3 linked regions of the Oryctolagus cuniculus genome follow. The protein of the gene in region 2 purifies or fractionates together with the protein of the main gene of each other region. This does not show direct contact. Links are inferred from orthologs where the notes say so. Each region holds a gene or a part of one and is shown on either strand. Other genes may lie near its edges.

Evidence for each region.
Region 1: the proteins of NLRP3 (region 2) and TRIM31 purify together in Homo sapiens (affinity purification with western blotting; 3 studies listed by BioGRID). This does not show direct contact. The link is inferred for Oryctolagus cuniculus from reciprocal best matches to the Homo sapiens genes NLRP3 and TRIM31.
Region 3: the proteins of NLRP3 (region 2) and USP50 purify together in Homo sapiens (affinity purification with western blotting; 3 studies listed by BioGRID). This does not show direct contact. The link is inferred for Oryctolagus cuniculus from reciprocal best matches to the Homo sapiens genes NLRP3 and USP50.

Annotation. Positions count from the first base shown.
Region 1 is NC_091436.1:140,344,244-140,348,604, reverse strand, and holds the start of TRIM31 (E3 ubiquitin-protein ligase TRIM31), read right to left. Parts: upstream 2,803-4,361; 5' UTR 2,629-2,802; intron 1-2,628.
Region 2 is NC_091437.1:1,765,072-1,768,548, forward strand, and holds the end of NLRP3 (NACHT, LRR and PYD domains-containing protein 3), read left to right. Parts: intron 1-2,211; coding exon 2,212-2,311; 3' UTR 2,312-2,843; downstream 2,844-3,477. UniProt on the Homo sapiens protein: Sensor component of the NLRP3 inflammasome, which mediates inflammasome activation in response to defects in membrane integrity, leading to secretion of inflammatory cytokines IL1B and IL18 and pyroptosis.
Region 3 is NC_091443.1:73,317,711-73,321,827, reverse strand, and holds the start of USP50 (ubiquitin carboxyl-terminal hydrolase 50), read left to right. Parts: upstream 1-1,214; 5' UTR 1,215-1,346; coding exon 1,347-1,399; intron 1,400-2,767; coding exon 2,768-2,962; intron 2,963-3,155; coding exon 3,156-3,381; intron 3,382-4,117. UniProt on the Homo sapiens protein: Deubiquitinating enzyme that removes conjugated ubiquitin from specific proteins to regulate different cellular processes. Regulates the inflammasome signaling pathway by deubiquitinating 'Lys-63'-linked polyubiquitination of the PYCARD/ASC adapter protein.

The sequences.
Region 1 (4,361 bases), on a different chromosome or scaffold from region 2:
TGCTCTCCATTATCAAAATAATTCATTATTAGGTAAATTTGGCTAGTAGGGAATACAGTTCTGTGAGCAGTGTTTCCTATTAAGTATCAACTGCTGTCTCAGTTACAAATAGCAACAGCAGCTCTGCCTTGTTGAGGAAAAGTAAATGCACAAAGTTAAAAAGTTAAAGACATGCTACAAATAACTAGTCATTATTCTGTGTATAAAAGTAGAGCAGAAATTAAACAGTAAAAATTTCTGTAAATTCTTTGTTCTCTGTAGTGGATTGCCACTTATACTCCCAACATGTGTGTACTGATAATCCTCTCCCACACTAATGAGTGGCTTTTCTCCCAGTTTTGGCTGGAATCTGCCTTATCCTCACCCTGTCTCTATACTACAGTGTCTGTTTAAGTGTTTACAGCTGGTGATGGAGTGAACCAAGGCCTTCGGCAACCAGGCGGTCAACCAAATGCTACTACAGGAATGTCTCGGCTCCCCACCCAGGAGACAGTGGCTTAAGACATCGCCCCATGGCAGTGAAGAGTGCCTCATTGCTCCACGACAGCAGGGGTGACTCTGAAGACGGATCGTCATCCCTCTGCACCTCTTGGATTTCTGGGACCAATGTGGTGGGCTGTGCACCACTCTGGGAAAGAATGCTGCTTTTATGCCCATCACTCGGGCCTAATAAAAGATAACATGACTGGCTAAGGTCAGGGAGGGCTGGCAAAACAAGAGAACAGGAGGCCTCTCAGGGGTGGTTTGAGTCTTGGTTCAATTCTTCTCCGTGGCAAGCCCCCTACTATCAGGACTCATAGGGCCCCTTGTTCTCCTGATTTTAATTTTAACCTTCAGCCCTTCCATTGTTAACAAACTTATACAGTTTATGAAACAGAGATTGGGCACCATTCAATTAATGGTCCAACGGTCCCAATATAAACCCTTCAATGTTTGTAAAACCTATAAAATGTCTGTCCAAAACCCATGATTGGGTTCTTCAAACATGCACAAAATCAATAGGGGAATGAAGAGCCAAAGTGACTCCATTTTAAAACAATAAAAAAAGCAGCCTCCGTTTCCCATAGCAGACCCAGGTCCTTGTGAAAGCAGGCATTCAGGCATCCCAGAGATATCAAAGCTTACCAGGGACAGCTAGCTCAGTAGATCAAGGACAGCACAGTAGAGATTGCTGAACAAAGTAACTTCCTGCGCCCAGAGCTCCTGTGCTGTCAGCCCCGGCTGTAACTCCCTGAACCCAAAGCTTCTGTGCTGTATGTAACTCTTTTCCTGCTGATGTATCCCTTTTTTCCTTTAAAAACTCTCCCAAACAAAGACCGGGGCCTCACTCCTTCCTCCGCTGTGCCAGTTGCTTGGATGGGGTCCCTGTCGTGGCTTGTACTCCCGAATAAACCTTGCTCTTGCAGTTCGGTGTGATCGACTCTCTGGGGGTCTCTGCGGGGATCTAATGATCTGGGCACAACACTATCTGAAGCCAGAAGCCAGGAGCCAGGAGCGTCTTTTGGATCTCCCATTGGGGTGCAGGAGCCCAACGACTTGGGCCATCTTCTACTACTTTCCCAGGCCATAGCAGAGAGCCGAATTGGAAGTGGAGCAGCAAGGACTTGAACTGATGAATGTAAGGGATGCCAGCACTGCAGGCGGTGGCTTTACGCTCTCTGCCATAGCACTGGCTAGTGTTAAAAGCTTCTTAAGTGCCCCTTAGATTTCAGGGCATTTCAAATTTTCACAGCAGTGACTCACCTTAAATACATTACTGAAGGTCATCTACCTTGTTGTAAAGATGCACTATGAAAATATGTTTGTAGATATCAATATTTTATATCAAGTTAACCAGAAATATTTCAAAATTTCAATGTTTTATAAAATTCATTCTTCACCAATTGATTAGAAAAAAACTAAGCATCTATTTTTATAATTAAAATCATTTTTTTCCCTCCAAAAATTAACGCCTTTGCTTGAAACTAAAAAGTTTGTATTCTTTTAATTCTCTGTCTGAAATCAGGATAACTTCTACTGAATTCATGTTGAAACATGTAAATATTTAATTTTTTGATATATGTATAATTGTATATGTTGTATTGTCAAATATATTCCTGAAGAAAAGCACTTCTACTTTGACTAGATATTGATGAGACTGAACCCTAGACTTAAATTTTATGCATCTAAGGATTGAAAGGATAGCTTGTCTTCACTGTCTACATACTTCTGGCAGCTCATATGATGGGACATGTTCTTATTCTGGAGGTCCTCCAACCTTGCACTTCAGTCTCATGTCAAATGAGTTGTCTTGGTGGTAGCAGTGTTCCCAGAAGACATTGCTACACTGAGACAGACAGCAATAACTTGATTATATATGGAAGTGCTTTTGAACCACATAACTTAGTAAACCCAAACAGTGTAAGCCCAACTCAATTTCCCTTCAACTCGATCCCCCAAATGTCACTGATAGAAGGATACTGTGGTAGAGAAAACTGAAATAGAGACAGCAATCCTAACTGGAATTAAAATATCACTTTTACAAATTCATAAAATATGCAGGTACTTCACAAAGTTCAAAGAAAGTGAATATCATGAAAAAAAAACCGCATGAATTTCAAAAAGATTTTTGCACCAAAATAAACTTACTTTGCTCTCTCCACAAATGATTCAACGTGTTTTCATAGTATGATGTTGGAATGCATTGTTAGGTCCTGTCTCAAGGCCTTGGAATGGGACAGTCAAGCCACAAACTTCAAGGTAGGTCTTACTCTCACATCCCGAAAGGGCAGCACAATTACCTCTGAAGTCTCCTCCCTCTGGGCTGTGTCTCACTCTCTGCACTTGCTGGCTTGTTTTGATTCTTTTCTATTACAAGGAAGTGGCTAGTTGAGCAGTCTTAACCTTTTATTGAAACAGGTGTGTCCAGCTAAGTACTTACAGTAAGTCAGCCGTTCACACACACTCCACTTGGGGGGTGGACCCATCCCTTTCTAAGTCTGCAACCAAAACTTCTGTGCCAGTCTGTCATGCTGTGCTGCTCAGAAGCAGGTTTCAGGTAGCACTCAAATATTAAGAAGTCTCTTTTTTATTTTTTTGTTTGAAAGACAAAGTTCAGAGAGAGACACAGAGAGAGAGAGAGGTCTTCTATTCGCTGGTTCACTCCCCAAATGGCCACAACAGCTGAGGCTGGACAGGATGAAGCCAGGAGCCAGGAGTTTCTTTCAGGTCCCCCAAGGACTGCTTTCCCAGGCTATAGCAGAGAGCTGGATCAGAAGTGGAACAGCTGGGACTCCAACCAGTGCCCATATGGGATGCCAGCACTGCAGGTCAGGGCTTTAACCCACTGCACCATGGTGCTGGCCCTAAGGATGCTTTTTCAATCTGGTGAATGAGTAGTAGCCTCAATGCATTTCAGGCCAATTGTTTTCTTGCTCATTTACTTCTAAGATGGTAAGAACATGTAGAATCCACCCCTTAGCAATTTTTAAGAATACAGATAAACCTAGAATCACTATGATGTATGATAGAAATCTTGAATCAATTTCTCTTAAGTGAAATTTTGTATCATTTGACCAACATCTCCCTAACCCATTTCCCTCCCTAGCCACTGGTAACCACCATTCTACTCTCTGCTTCTATGAGTTCAGCTGTTTTACGCTCCACACACAAGTGAGAGCAAGTAGCAGTATTGTCAGCTAATTGTTTCCTCCTCGCCACTGGGGAGAATTCAGGGGTTTCCACCAAGACCTTGTGGCTTTGCTAGCAGCTCCCGAGGTCTCTGCTGAGTCTCAGATCTTGAGTTCCTGCTCTGCTCATGTCCCACTTTTCGGAGAATGCATCATCAGATGGAGCACAGCATCTTTTCTTTGGTTTCTCTAAGTTGTTTCTTGCACAGTAGTTGTGTGTGTGGCAGATTGACTGACTGCACCCTGGAGATCCAGGCAGAGAGGAGGCTGAGTGCTGGGGCCAAGGATGGGTCTCACCAACGGACATGGCTGCAGAGCTCATAGTTTACAGTGTAGCATCACACATTAGCATTCTGAAAAATTCTTTGGCTGTTTCTGCCACAAGATATATTTTTTCCCTTACTGGCAAATGTTCCTCTCTGGTGCCCCTGTCTTCTCTGTCTTACAGGTAGTCTCTTCCCTGGGCTTCTCCTCTTCCTCTTACACAGTTTTATGCTGGCCTCCCTCCCCTCCCCCGGACTCTACATTTATCAGGGCTCACTTTCCTTGGCCAGGTATTTCTTTGCCAGCTCTTATTTATTTATTTGAAAGTCAGATTTACACACACACACACACAGAGAGAGAGAGAGAGAGAGAGAGAGAGAGAGAGGTCTTCCATCTTTTGGAAGACCCCAATTGGCCAAAACAGCCAGA
Region 2 (3,477 bases):
TTCCCTAGACTTTGCCACATGGACATTAATCAGCCTCCAGGTTCTACAGTGCTGTCCCCTTTGCAGTCACTTGCGAAGCCCTGGTGCCATCTTGGGCGTCTCCTTGTACAGTCCCACAGCCCACCCCTAGCCACCTCTTTAGGTCTCCAGCTCAAGCCACAGTTCCCTGTTTTACTTTTTAAAGATTTATTAATTTTATTTGAAAGGCAGAGTTATAGAGAGAGAAGGAGAGACAGAGAAAGAGGTCTTCCATGATGGCCCAAGTCCTTGGGCCCCTGCACCCATGTGGGAGACATGGAAGGGGCTCCTGGCTCCTAGCTTCAGATCGGCACAGCTCTGGCCCTTGTGGCCAATTGGGGAGTGAACCATCAGATGGAAGACCTCTCTCTCTCTCTCTGCCTCTCCTCTCTCTGTGTAACGTTGGCTTTCAAATAAATAAATCTGAAAAAAAAAAAAAAAGAGAGAGAGAAAAGGTCTTCCATCTGCTGGTTCACTCCCCAAATGGCTGTGGCCTCCAGAGCTGGGCCAGATCGAAGCCAGGAGCCAGGATCTTCTTCCTGGTCTGCTACGTGGGTGCAGGAGTTGAACCGGTGCCCATATGGGATGCCAGCACTGCAGACGAGGCTTTATCCTCTGCCACAGCACAGGCCCTCACCATTCCCTCTTAGTACGGCTGCCCTGGGCTGCTGCTGTGCCACCGTCTGTGTTGTTCTCACTTTGGCCAACAGAGGACGCAGCTGAGATGAGAGCCAGACCCCACCACTCCCACCCCTCTTCCCAGTTTCTTCCTGTCACAAGCTCATGGCTGCCTTGGTGGCCCTGCGACTCCTAAAGAGTCTAGCGCTGGTGTGTCCTGCACGTCACTCTGGTCTCTTGCTGATTCAGACCCACGCAGGCTTTGGGACTCTGCAGCCACTGCCTCTGCTTGGAGCACTCTCCTTGTAGGCCTGTGCTTTCTGTCCCCAGGTCTGCTCCCCCAGGCACCTCAAATGTGCTGCTGGACACAGGAAGCAACCCCTTTATCATTGCCTCACTCCACCCCTCAGCGTAGACACCACCTCACCTGCTGCCCTCCCCTCCCCTCCCCTCAGCATAGACACCACCTCACCTGCTACCCTCCCCTCCACTCACTCCACCCCTCAGCGTAGACACCACCTCACCTGCCATGTTATATTTTTGTTGTTTCATTACCTATCTCTTCCCCCCAAATGCAAATTTCATGAGTCTTGGGACTCTGGTGTCTGTCTTAGCTCAAAGGTGCATAGATGCAAGTGTGGCTCTGCGCTGCTCTCTTGTGCAGACGCAGCAGGGTGCGTTTCCTGCAGTAAAGGCAACATTCCCAGAGCAAGAGAAGGAGGGACCCAGGGAAGCCTGGTCAGGACAAAGCTAGGGACTCTGCTGTGGGTGAGGTCACTGGCCCAGTCCAAGGGATACTTGGGTCCCAACCTGGGGCACAGGCTTAGCGTAGATGATGCCCCAGCTGGGCTCTGCTTGCCCTGCCATAAGAAAACACTGCGGCGCTGTGCACTGGTGGCTTAGACACAGATGGTTATCTTCTCACACACCCCATTGAGCCAAAAAGCCCAGAATTCAGGTTCTGGGGAATTCAGTGTCTGGCAAATGTGTTCATGAGCTGCACACACACACACACACACACACACACACATGAGTGGGTCAGAGACAGAGGGACAGAGACAGACACACAGAGCCGGAGTCAGAGCAGAGACGCAGAGCAGCAGAGGCAGAAGGAGCCGTCTAGTGTCTCAGGAGGACTCCTCTGACTCTGGGGGTCTCCAGACCCTGGCCGGCCGTTCACACACGTCTGGAGGAAACACTGGATTGTGAGCAAATCAGGGCCGATGGAAGCGACACAGGACAAAGATCTGGCTCCTGGGGTCTGAAGCCCTGGGTCCGAGGAGGCCTGGAGGGCCCGGGCTGCCACAGCACAGCCGACATGTAGCTGTGAGGAGATGCTCAGAGGCGGTCATTGACAGGGAGGCTGCAGGCACCGAGTGCATGGGCACTGTCTGCGGCGGCTCCGGCCGGGTCAGCTGCCACCACTTGGCCTTGCCACTGTGTTGGTAGACGTGCGGGGTGCAGGTCCCGTTCTTCCCAACACAGAGGTTACCAACTCGACAGGGCCGCGTGGACATGCCGCGCTCAGAGCGCCATACCCGCCGAGCCGCCTCTGAGTACCTGTCTGCCCCGCAGGTTGTGTGAGATGTACTTCAACCCTGAGACGATCCACGCCTTGGAAACACTGCGGGAAGAGAAACCTGCATTGACTGTCGTTTTCGAGCCTTCGTGGTAGCAACGGAGCTGCCCCCCTCCCCGCCCACCTGTGCCCAGGTGCGCCCATGTGGGAGGAACCCTCCTGCATCCAGTGTCAAGACCACAGCTCCGCTGTCCCCCAGGTCCAGCTGGAGAGCCAGGGCTTGTGGTGGAGCCCTCACGTGGGGAACCCTGTGCCTCCTGCGCCCCTGGCAGAGATTCTGGGCACAGCCCCTATGGTTAGCCTGCCTTTCCCGATTTCCGCTGGCTTTTGTCACTCACACTCCCACTGTCTGTCAGTGGACTGACCACCGACCACTGCATAAAGCTACGCCCTGCATGCTGTCTTGTAATTGTGTGTCCACTATGTATTTATTTTTAATGTTTTGTAACAGTTATATTTTCTAATAAAGATTCACGCCTATTGTAGCTTGCTGAAAATTCAGAAATATAAAACAACCTTTTTGTATTTATTGTGTTAAATTGTTTCCTGTACTTAATTTTTAAAAACAAGTACCTTGAAATTTTAAAAATTACTTATCTGAACTAATAAAGATGAATTAATTGCTCTATGAATGTAAAAGGTCTTTTTGTTCAGGGCATGCATCGCTGTGCCATGGGTTAATCTGCCACTTGGGACTCCTGCATCCTGTATCATAGTGCCTGGGATCAAGGCTGCTCCACTTCCCATGCAGCTTCCTGCACCTGGGAAGGCAGTGGAAGATGGCCCAAGTGCTTGGATCACTGCATCCATGTAGGAGACCTGGATGGAGTTCCGGGCTTCAGGCATGGATCCAGCTCAGGACCTGCTGTTGCGGACATTTGGGGAGTGAACCAGGGATGCATGATCTCTCTTTCTCTCTGTGTTTCTCCTGCCTCTCTATCACTCTCCTTTCAAACAAACTTAAAGACAGCTCTTTGTGAAATGATTCCATGTGGTAGTAGTGGGGGAGTGTCACCTAGCTCAGCTGGGACGGGGGTGGAACTCCTGCAGGGGACGTTCGTGGCTTCGTTTTTCTGGAGGAGGTGGCCAGTCCTGACCCTTGCCAGTCCTGACCCTTGGCCAGTTTCAGTTTCAGCACCTTGGGTGCTGGATGGGTGATGTTGGCTAAGTTGTCACAACCTAAGAACCAATTCTAAGAGGAAAAAGAGGAACCATGGCAAAGATTGCACAAGGGTACGCGTTGGGTCACTCAGGGTGTTGCC
Region 3 (4,117 bases), on a different chromosome or scaffold from region 2:
CTGCTCCTCTTCCAGTCCAGCTCTCTGCTGTGGCCCGGGAGGGCAGTGGAGGATGGCCCAAGTCCTTGGGCCCTGCACCCGCATGGGAGACCAAGGAGGAAGCACCTGGCTCCTGGCTTCGGATCAGTGCAGTGCTGCAGAGCCACCCGAGGTGACTTCAAGAGACATCACTGTCCCGATGGTGACTCAAGTACTTGAGTACCTCCCACACATGGGAGACTCCTGGCTTCAGCCCTGGGTGCTTTGGGTATTTGCAGGGTGAACGATTAGATGGAAGACCTCTGTTTCTATGTTTCTGTGCCTTTCAAATAAATTAAAATAAGTAAATAACTATTTTAAAGAGATACCACAAATAGCAAACAGCTGCAGGAGCTGTCACATCTAGTTGTCAGGATCCTTTATCCAGGTGTCAAAGTAGGGTTACTCTTCATACCTTGTGCAGCCTGAGCAACTGTGTGTGTGACTTTTAACCACTAGGATAGTGGCTCCAGCCCTCATGAAGGGAAATTCTCTATTCAACCCCAATGCAAAGCATTTGGAAGCAGCAACATCCAGCTGCCTCAGGGTGGGGGGTGTTCCTCCCCAGGAGGGGGGAATGTGTGCTCAGAGTGGGCAGGATCACCAGAGCGCCCCCTAACTCTGGTGGTAAATCTTTGGTGCATATGCATGCATGCATGGGATGGGGAGACTGGTACTGTGGCGTAGCAGGTAAAGCCACCGCCTGCAATGCCGTCATCCCATATGGGTGCCAGTTCAAGTCCCGTCTGCTCCACTTCTGATCCAGCTCTCTGCTATGGCCTGGGAAAACAGTGGAAGATGGCTCAAGTCCTTGGGCCCCTGCACCCCGTGGGAGACCTGGAGGAAGCACCTGGCTCCTGGTTTCAGATTGGTGAAGCTCCGGCTGTTGCAGCCAATTGGGGAGTGAACCAGCAGATGAAAGAACTCTCTCTCTGCCTTTCCTCTCTCTGTGTAACTCTGAATTTAAAATAAATAAATAAATAAATCTTTATTTAAAAAAGAGTCTTAATAAAAAATTCAAATAAACATGCAGTTCATTCTGTCCAGTGTAGTCTTTCCAAGCAGTTCAACCAACCTAATAACAGTGTCTCACGGCAACATGCTAGAATCTTGGGGGTGAATGGAAAGGATTGTGATGCATGGGAAAATCCAAGTTGCAGTGGTGCCTGATACAGGGGAAAATCAGTTTGCCGCTTCAGAAAGGCGGAAGGAGCATATAAATTGCTTAAAACAGACAAAGGGAGGCATAATGGACTTGGAGAAATGAAGTTGAAAGGATTAGCCGCTGCTCCTGAATAGATGTCAGAGTCCAGCGTGGTTCCACTACGATGACTTCTCAGCGGTCATTCCCTGCGGACGACTTCGGTATCTACTATGTCCTGTGAGCCTCTGTCTCCTACAGCTTTCCACCTGAGCTCCAGGGTGGGGGTGGGGGGGAGAGTCTCATCAAAGAAATCGGGGTACATGCCGCATTTGGGAAGGTTCCCCCAGATTTGGCCCACAGAGGTCGAGGTCCTCCCAAAGGAAGGGACTAGATTTAATATCTAGGCAGTAGACCCATGTCTTTTTTTAAAATTAATTTATTTATTTGAAAGAGTTACAGAGAGAGAGAGAGACAGAGAGAGATGTCTTCCATCCACTGTTTCACTCCCCAAATGGCCACAATGGGCAAGGCTGGGCCAATCGAAGCCAGGAGCCAGGAGCTTCCTCCAGTTCTCCTATGTGGGTGCAGGGGCCCAAAGCCTTGGGCCATCCTCTGCTGCTTTCCCAGGTGCATTAGCAGGGAGCTGGACTGGAAGTGGAGCAGACTGGACTCGAGCCAGTGCCTTATGGGATTCCAACACTGCAGGCAGTGGAGTTACCCTCTACACCACAGTGCCAGCCCCCTCCTCGTCCTTCTTAAAGCAAGACAGGGCTTCCCATGACGTTGTAAGGAAACATGAAAATGACCATGTGTCCAGTGAGCACTTTTCAAACTGACATAGCTAAGTAGAGGTACTGTGAGGAAGCTGTCTCACAGAGCTCAAACTGTAGAGGCAGTGCTTGGAAAGAAGAATCATAAAGGGCAAAGATGGTGGGCTGGCAACAAACCAGGAAAGGAAGCCGTGGATGGGGAGGGGATTCTTCCTCGCTACCGCCCAGTGTGGGCCCAGCGGATTTACCTGAGCACTAACTCCACAGTTTCCTGCCAAAGATAGCCTTGATCACTCACGTTAACATTTTCTAACAGTTTCTCAATATGTATATGTGTATATATATGTAATTGTTCCTACGCTGTAAAATTATTAAAAGAATTTAATGAAAAAATGTATACAGTTCCAGGTTCAAAACATGATAGCTATTGCTATTGACTGTTATCTATTGTTACTATTATTATCAAAAATTATTTATGTTTGCAGCATAAAGGTAATACTTCGGTATTCAGCAAGAAAGTCTGCAATTTTAGTCAAGCAAATCTAAGACTAAGACTTTGAAAGGTTGATATTTTCAGTTCTCTTGCTTTGGTTTTAGGAAGAAACGTTTCTCTGTTATATATGGATGGCTTCGCACACTTGTTCTGAGTTCTGGACTAAATAATGCCACTTGAGCCTTCAAGTGCACATGCTTAAGTCCTTAGTAGGAGTGTGTTTGAGGGAGACTCTTAGCAAGAACTCTTCTTGGTTTCATGAGGTTGAGAGGAAATTATTGTCATTTGTATATATTTTGTTCCCCAAAATGCTTGCTTGCTTTCCACGTGGCACCAACACAGTGCAGAGTGCACAGATCATTATGATACCCTTCCAGTTAACGAGGCTGAAAAGAACCAGCCCCACTTCCAGGGGGTCACTGGCCTGCGGAACTTGGGCAACACGTGCTACATGAACGCCATCTTGCAGTGTCTCGGCAGCATCTCGCCGCTGGTGGAGTACTTCCTCTCCGGAAAGTACATTACTGCTCTCCAAAAGTAAGACCATCCGCGGGCCCTGCAGCCCACCCCCGCCCACAGGGTCCCCTCCCTCCCCAGGCGGAAGCTCCCCCCATGAGTGACACATCGAGGGTGAATAAAGCAGGAAGGGTAGTTGGGAAATGATTGAAGCCCTGTTTTTGGACTGATTCTCCAGGCTTGAGTGACAGGGGTCTTCTTTTCATTCAACCAGCCAGAAACCTGCCCGTTTTTTCCTCTCAAGGGACTGCAGTGATGTGGCCACTGCCTTCGCTTACCTGATGACAGACATGTGGCTTGGAGACTCAGACTGTGTCTCACCGGAAATATTTCGGTCGGCTCTTGGCAACCTCTACCCAGCATTCATGAAAAAGACACAACAAGATGCTCAGGAATTCTTGATTTATGTCCTAAATGAACTTCATGAAGCTCTGAAAAAGGTGAGTAGAATAAGTGACCTTGAAACAGGACGCACCTGCAGCTTCAGCAGAAACTCCCATTTTTCTGTCTTCAATTCCTTCAGTCAAAATGGCCTACTCTGTGCCAAGCACCGTGCTAGCAGCTGAGGGGTACTTGTGTTTGAATGTTGAACTGCATTTACCGTATGTACTGATCATCAAGAGCCCCTGGGAAGATTAGAGTCGGAGGTGCTTACTCCAGTGTTAATGAGTAAGACTGGAAGAGTCTCACAGGGCATATCTGGTGATCAGCCAGGGCCAGCAACCACGAATCCGGTTCCCTTTGCGCGTAAAAACTGCATGGACCCAGTTTTCAAAGTAGAAATTGTTAAATAAAAGTATGTTTTGAATGAGAAATACCATAATGAATTTTATAATTTAATTTTCTTGGTACCTACAAACCCATGAAAATATTGACCTTGGTATAAAATTAGGGGCCAGACTAGGCCCTGCCAAGTTTCTCTTCACACCAACTCACCTAACCTCCAGCATGTGTTGGATTTAGGACATGTATTTGATTAAACATGAAATCACCAGTTATTCTAGGGGTTTTGCCTTCATTTAGAGAACTCACTACCTGTAGCCTTGGTCTATGACCCACACTCTGGGAAGATATGTCCTTGACTTTATGCAATGTTCTTGTGTGAATGTTACCTCACTGCACACGTAACGCCCCCAAAAAATAACACGAAGATCACAAACTATAGCCATGTATACT